2 linked regions of the Neurospora crassa OR74A genome follow. The protein of the gene in region 2 binds, or shares a complex with, the protein of the main gene of each other region. Links are inferred from orthologs where the notes say so. Each region holds a gene or a part of one and is shown on either strand. Other genes may lie near its edges. The genes, in order: NCU02605 and NCU01772.

Region 1 (3,030 bases), on a different chromosome or scaffold from region 2:
CTTGATCAGTGAAGGAATAATGCTTTGCTTTTCCAAAGGTAACTGGATCTTACCTGCACCTACATCAAGACGAGGAAGAAGCCACTACGCCAATTTAACTTGCCCAACGTTTGGGGGCGCCGGTTGATATTGAACACTTGCTGGGATGGATTCGAGACCCAACGACACTGATCCGGCGGTGATCAGCTAAAAGATATGGAAGACTGGATGGGGAGACGAACCAAAGGAGACTAGAGATATTGAAGCAAAGTGGCTACTACACAGATATGGTAAGATCACTTGAGTATGAACTTCATTCTTTCCTACACCGTCTTGGAAATGAGAACTTACGTGCCATCACTTGTACGGACATGAATGGTTGAGGGAACAGGTAAGTCGTAGACTGACCGGCGATGCAAGTCTACGGCTGGTGGGAGGGTAGGTCCATATCGGTAAAGACAACGTTCAAGTTTGTGACAATCCGAAAGCTCATTTTTCGGAAGTATATTTGCTACCGATGAGCAACGCAAAAGCATCTCTGACCGAGTGGCGTCCAAACCGGGCCTAGGAACAGGGCCAACGCTCACTTCGCTGCCACATACATACAGTTCGAGTCACTGGACACGGGCATGGGTGAACCAATTATCAGGAATTCGGATGTGGAAGCTACACAGATGAATAATTCTTCATAAAGAGAGAGTTGACCGGGCGCTGAATTTGAAATACTTTTGAAAGATATGACGTTCAGCATACTCATCTGAGCGAATAGCGTAGGCTACCCCAGTCTGTACCCATGTTATAAACTGAGACGTGTGATTTAGAAGGCCGTGCTACCTTTTGCGAATGTCTCTTGTTCACCAGCGCCATCATCCCTTGCACTGGCTTGATGCCCCCACAAATTGTAAGGACCATCCAATCCGAGCGTCGCTTCGTATTCGATCGGTCCAGCCCAGCCGAAGCGGTAGACTTTTCCACCATTCCCAAAAGACATCCGAACCCGAGGAGTTGGAAACCACGCAGGCGAGCATGACGGCTTGTAAGTCGCCAATGTAGATAACCAGATGTGGTTGGTTATGACACATCTAGCCACACGGAGCAAGTACCACGTTCCGGCTAAAGACAATGGCTCTCCGTGGTACCACAACCTCTCAACTGTAGTTGCAAACCGAAAAGGTAGCCTGTTGTGTCTGGCCATGTTGCTCCGGTAGACCTAACCGCCAACAGAACTTACACCAGAAACAGTTGTCCCAAATGCACCTTGACGCCACAGGTTCTAACCCAAAGAAAAGCACAACCAAATCAAGCTCTTGCTTTCGGCCTCCTGGATGCGAGACCAGGGCCGCTTCTATACCCTGCCCGGTACAGTTGTCTTAATACTCCCAAACGCCTAATGATCATGCAGTTTTCTCTTCCCGGACGATAGAGTGGTCGGCTTTCCCGAATAGTTGATGATGAATTCTTCGACCGCTCGGGCATATTACATCCCCTGTTCCTCATTGCGTGTCTGCATCTCGATCTTCTTGACGTTGCGACCATCGGGAGTATACCTAGAGCGTAGTCAGCCACCAAGGTCCAGCGCGGCGAGTCCACAAGAACGTACTTGAGAAGCTTCTCGATGAGGTCGACGTGGGTCATGACCATGCGACGGCAGCAGTAGCGCTTGAGGCCGAGCTGATCCAGAGCATCACTAATCATCGTCTGTCAGTTGTTGTTATTTGTAAATCGAAAGTCGTTTGTAGATGTCGCATACCCATCGGTGATCTCCTCGCCATCGATCAGCTGCAGGTATCTCTCCCAGAGATCACCCACCACCTATGTGCCAAAGTCAGTAACCTTGTTAACGGGTAAATGGCGGAGGAAGCGGGGCGCGTCGCGTCGCGTACCTTGCCGCACGAAAAGCATCGGATTGGAATGATCATTTTTGTTAGCGAGTCGAAAGCCTACAAAAAAGTGTTTGGCGGGATGGCGATGTTCGCGGCAGATGAGCGACCGGCTTCTGGCAAGATGGTGGTGCAAGATTGGTCGTAGTGACGGTGCAAGTTTCAGCATGAACTTTGAAGGGCGAGGCGGCAACTTTACCTGTGAGGTCGGAAGGCCCCAGCAAATTTGACTTTCTAGGGTCTGATTGGTCACTTCAGCCTTATCACCGATAAGAAAGCTGCCCCACATTAACTTTTCGAAGGGTACTCCGCCAAAATTTCTTCTGCTGGGAGGATGAGGCGGACATGAAGCTCGGTACGACAAATCGTGTGTTCCTTGCCAGACTTGCATCGTCATATACTCAAAGGACAAGATGGTGGAGCTACGCACTCCTCGCAAGACCTCGAAGGCGCCCAAGATGGATGCGAATGGTGAAACTGCCTCGCTCAAGAAGAGAAAGAGAGAGCCCAAGGAAGAGACGACCGCTTCGCAAAAAAGGCAACGATCGAAACCAAAGACCCAGCCTGCTGCCGCCAATGGCAATGTTGACGATACTACCGACTCCCAAGAAAGCACCCTTTTCGAGAACAAAGACTTGCAAACGACCAATGGCGATTTGGAACTTACGGATGCTTCGAATACCTTGACGACGCGCAACACATCGGCATGGAAGGTATCGAATCCTATGGGCGGCCGCATGCTCGACATCGATCCCATATTTTCCTTGGATGAACGGTTCGTTTGAGACCAGTCCCCCAGGCAGGGGCTCTACTAATGCGACTTAGATACCTCCTTATCACCTACAACACATCAATTCAAGTCTATTCCACCGAGGATTCCCTGCTCGTCAGGAGGATCTCCCTTCCCATCACCAAGCTCGACAGCGGCGCCGAACTTTCTTCTCCCCACATCGTTGCGTCTGCGCTATCCGCCAGCGCACCCGAATTCCTCTGGGTTGCATGCTCAGATGGCCGCATCTGGCACCTTAACTGGGCGACAGGTGAAGGCGCCGAAACACCCTTCACGATTGACGTCAAGAAAGTCCTCGACATGACCGTCGAATCGGTTGATATCCGCGACAAGCAAGAAGATGTCCTGTTTATTCTCCAGAAGTTGACCAAGTCCTCGGCG
Region 2 (3,922 bases):
TGACAGGCAGACAGCCGTCAATGTTCAAGGCTGGACACTCTAACCCTCACTTCTGCCCTGTGGAAGATTCAGTACAAGAGAGAAGATCGATTTACATTCTGAGCACTCAAATGTACGATAGCCAGGTGATAGCTATGGTAGACGCTGAGATATGGAATGTCTTGAATGCTCATTGAGACCATGGTAGAGAAAGCGAACGCACAAGTGCAGCGCCCCCGTGTTTAACCTTGATGTGAAATCTCCTCGCCTTTTTTTTTCAATTGCTCCTCTTTCGGATCTTGCCCCACTGCTGGGTTGGGTTCCAGGTCGATTCAAGCAAGGTAGCACCCTGCTGGAGCTGGCCTAGGAAAAGATGGGTACCTACCTACACTATGCTGTAAGACACGGCCAACGGTGATGCGACTCTTTGACGTTTGTATAGTCAGCCAGAAGCATAACCCTTCTCTGATTCTTGAAGCCTGAGCAGGTCACAGCACTTGGGAATAACATCAACCTCCGTTGTATGCGATTAGCAATTCAAAGGCTGCCATATCAACGAACAAAGACCGAAGAAGACCATCAACATGATAACAGGTAGGAGAGAAATAGTGAACGACCCGGCAGGTGATTTCATAACCAGAAGCTCTCCCCTGTTGACTGGTGTGTCGATCGAAGGCCCGGCTTCCGCTTGGCGCGGCTAGATTCAGCAGAACGGATACATAGCTATCTTGAGGTTACCTAGCTGGCCTGACCCCGCTACAAATTGTTCAAATCGCTGTGCTAGTTGAAGTTGGATAGGTAAATACAACCTACCACCAGGAGGCAGATGTGTCGGAGTTGCACAGAGGCGGGGGTTCCTTATCACGAACATCAAAGTGACGGTCCGGAGTCAAAGCAAAAGGAAAGGTTTCAAAGGTACCCGACAGGTGGAGGGCACGGCCAAAAGTGGAACAAGGAACCTACATAGGTATATGTAACTGTCAATCAGGGGTCCAAAACGTGGGCGCTAACAATTTTGGCCTCGGCATACCAGTTAGGTACCACTGCAGTCACTAGCAGTCACCGGTCACCGCACCACAACACTACCTCTAGTGTAGTGCACTACACACACTAACAGTCAAGCACAGACCACTCCCGCCCCGTCGTCCCCCACCGCCCCAGCCGCGGCTTACCTCTACTGACCTAACAAGAAATGGCAGCGGCCAGCCCGTAGAAAAAGTTTATCGCAACTAATCCTTATCAATTTGCCGCGGGGCCAAAAATCACATCGAAATCTACCTACACAACTGCAAGGCGTATCTTCTCAACCAAACACACATTCCCGGTCGTTCCGCGCCCATCATCGCCATCCTCCATTCCTCCGGCCCGATCGATACGACGAACCGTCACCCGCAGTTAGCACATGCAAGGATGGCGGCTCTCGACGATGGCTTTGAGGCCCTGCTGGAGCCGTTCTACAATGGCAAGAAGCTGACCGATCCCATCTCGACCACGCAGGACAAGTTCCATCTTGTCCCGGCCTTCCTCAAGGTCAAGGGCCTCGTCAAGCAACACATCGACTCGTACAACTACTTCGTCAACGAGGAAATCAAGGACATCGTTAGGGCCAACCGCGTCGTCCGCAGCGACCAGGACCCCAACTTTTGGCTCGAGTTCAGAGACATCCGCGTCGGCATGCCCACCCGCACCGAAGATGGCGAACAAGTCCAGTCTCGAAACCCCGTCACCCCCATGGAGTGCCGTCTCCGCGACCTCACCTATGCCGCCCCCGTCGAGGTCGACATCGCCTACACCCGCGACAAGAACGTTATCGTCCGCAAGAACATCCCGCTATGCCGCATTCCCGTCATGCTCAAGAGCGCAAAGTGCTACCTCAACGGCGCCACCAATGCCCAGATGGAGGTCTTCAACGAGTGCCCTCTCGATCCTGGTGGCTACTTCGTTATTGGCGGAACCGAAAAGGTCATCTTGATTCAGGAACAGCTTAGCAAGAACCGTATCATTGTCGAGGCCGACGAGAAGACCGGCGGAGTCATGGCCTCGGTTACCAGTTCCACACACGAGAGAAAGTCAAAGACTTACGTCGTACTCAAGAAGGACCGGATTGTCCTGCAGCACAACACCCTCTCCGAGCCCATTCCCATCGTCATCGTTCTCAAGGCCTTCGGTGGTCTTTCCGACAACGACATCATCGAGCTGGTTTGCGGTGGCGATGCGCGCTACCAGGACGATTTCCTCATCAACTTCGATGAAGCCGGAAGAGCTGGTGTCTACACACAACAACAAGCGTTGGAATACGTTGGTGCTAGAGTCAAGATGGGCGGTAACAGACCCAAATTCGGTGCCGCTCCTCGAAGAAACCATGCTGAAGAAGGTCTCGACGCACTTGCGAACTTAGTTATCGCGCACGTTACTGTTGAGGGTCTCGACTTCTATCCCAAGGCCGTCTACATTGCCATGATGGTTCGCCGCGTGCTGATGGCAGCTCAGAATCCCAAGCTCGTCGATGACAGAGATTTCGTCGGCAACAAGAGATTGGAATTGGCTGGACAGTTGATCTCCCTTCTATTTGAAGACTTGTTCAAAAAGTTCATTTCAGACGTCAAGTACAACATTGACAACTTTTTCAAGAAACCCAACCGTACCTCTACGTATGATCCCCATGGTGCGATCATGGCTAACGGCCATTATATCTCTCACGGTCTTAACCGCGCCATTCAGAGCGGCAACTGGACGGTCAAGCGTTTCAACATGAACAGAGCCGGTATCACCCACGTGCTCAGCCGACTCAGTTATATCGCTGCGCTGGGTATGATGACGCGTATCAGCTCACAGTTCGAAAAAACAAGAAAGGTTTCCGGTCCAAGAGCCCTACAGCCCTCACAGTGGGGTATGCTCTGCACCTCTGATACACCTGAAGGTGAAGCCTGTGGTCTGGTAAAGAATTTGGCACTCATGACACACATTACCACGAATGTGCCGGAGGAACCAGTTAAGAAGATGATTTTTGCTGCTGATGAGAGCGTGGGACCGATCCGAGAATACACCGGAACAGAGATGCACAGCAAAGGCTCGTATATCATCCATTTGAACGGTACACCATTTGCTGTGACCAGGGAGCCAAAGCGGTTTGCCGCCAGGTTCAGAACTTTGCGTCGCCGGGGCTGGGTCTCTCCTTTTGTGAGCATCCACATCAACGAGCACTTCTCGGCGGTTCATATCGCTACCGATGAAGGACGTATTTGCCGCCCGTACATCATCGTCAAGAACGGCAAATCCATGTTGAAGGCAGAGCACCTGAAGATGCTTCAACTCGGGCAAGCGACATTCGACACTTTCCTGACCAGCGGCGTGGTTGAGTATCTCGATGTCAACGAAGAGAACGATACCCTTGTGGCGCTTCAGGAGGATCAGATCACCAACAGCACTACGCACATGGAAATTGAGCCGTTCACGATTCTCGGAGCAGTCGCTGGTCTAATTCCCTTTCCCCATCACAACCAGTCTCCCCGTAATACTTACCAGTGCGCCATGGGTAAACAAGCCATTGGTGCTATTGCCTACAATCAGTTCAACAGAATCGATACCCTTCTTTATACCCTTGTTTATCCCCAACGACCAATGGTCATTACGAAGACGATTCAACTTATCCACTACGACAAGCTCCCGGCAGGACAGAACGCCACCGTCGTTGTCATGTCTTACTCTGGCTACGATATCGAAGATGCGCTTGTTCTGAACAAGGCTTCTCTAGATCGTGGATTCGGCCGCTGCCAAGTGTTCCGCAAGTATACCGCCGAATTGCAAGGCTATACGAATGGGCGCCGCGACAGGGTTGGCGGTATCATGAAGGACGAAGACGACAAGCCCATTGTTAAGCACGCCATCCTCGACGCCGATGGCCTGGCCCAGGTGGGCTCAAAGGTTGAATCCGGACAAACGA

Evidence for each region.
Region 1: the proteins of NCU01772 (region 2) and NCU02605 are in contact, whole or in part, in a cryo-EM structure (PDB 7Z0H), measured with the Saccharomyces cerevisiae proteins. The link is inferred for Neurospora crassa OR74A from reciprocal best matches to the Saccharomyces cerevisiae genes RET1 and RPB10. Residues at the interface, in NP_014850.1 of Saccharomyces cerevisiae: Glu168, Met171, Ala172, Asn175, Glu176, Cys177, Pro178, Ala712, Ala714, Tyr715, Asn716, Gln717, Phe718, Lys719, Thr729, Tyr730, Pro731, Gln732, Gln733, Met735, Asp747, Lys748, Leu749, Pro750, Gln753, Asn754, Ala755, Thr756, Ser776, Ser777; in NP_014853.3 of Saccharomyces cerevisiae: Met1, Ile2, Pro4, Arg6, Cys7, Phe8, Ser9, Cys10, Gly11, Glu32, Gly33, Leu36, Lys42, Arg43, Tyr44, Cys45, Arg47, Arg48, Met49, Leu51, Thr52, His53, Val54, Leu56, Lys59, Phe60, Arg62, Tyr63, Asn64, Pro65.

Annotation. Positions count from the first base shown.
Region 1 is NC_026501.1:2,876,482-2,879,511, reverse strand, and holds NCU02605 (DNA-directed RNA polymerase I/II/III subunit 10), read right to left. Parts: upstream 1,996-3,030; 5' UTR 1,899-1,995; coding exon 1,863-1,898; intron 1,792-1,862; coding exon 1,730-1,791; intron 1,667-1,729; coding exon 1,580-1,666; intron 1,527-1,579; coding exon 1,457-1,526; 3' UTR 648-1,456; downstream 1-647. Other genes in the region: NCU02604 (hypothetical protein), read left to right, coding at 2,273-2,634, 2,685-3,030. UniProt on the Saccharomyces cerevisiae protein: DNA-dependent RNA polymerases catalyze the transcription of DNA into RNA using the four ribonucleoside triphosphates as substrates.
Region 2 is NC_026502.1:2,490,072-2,493,993, forward strand, and holds the start of NCU01772 (DNA-directed RNA polymerase III polypeptide), read left to right. Parts: upstream 1-1,203; 5' UTR 1,204-1,389; coding exon 1,390-3,922. UniProt on the Saccharomyces cerevisiae protein: DNA-dependent RNA polymerase catalyzes the transcription of DNA into RNA using the four ribonucleoside triphosphates as substrates. Second largest core component of RNA polymerase III which synthesizes small RNAs, such as 5S rRNA and tRNAs.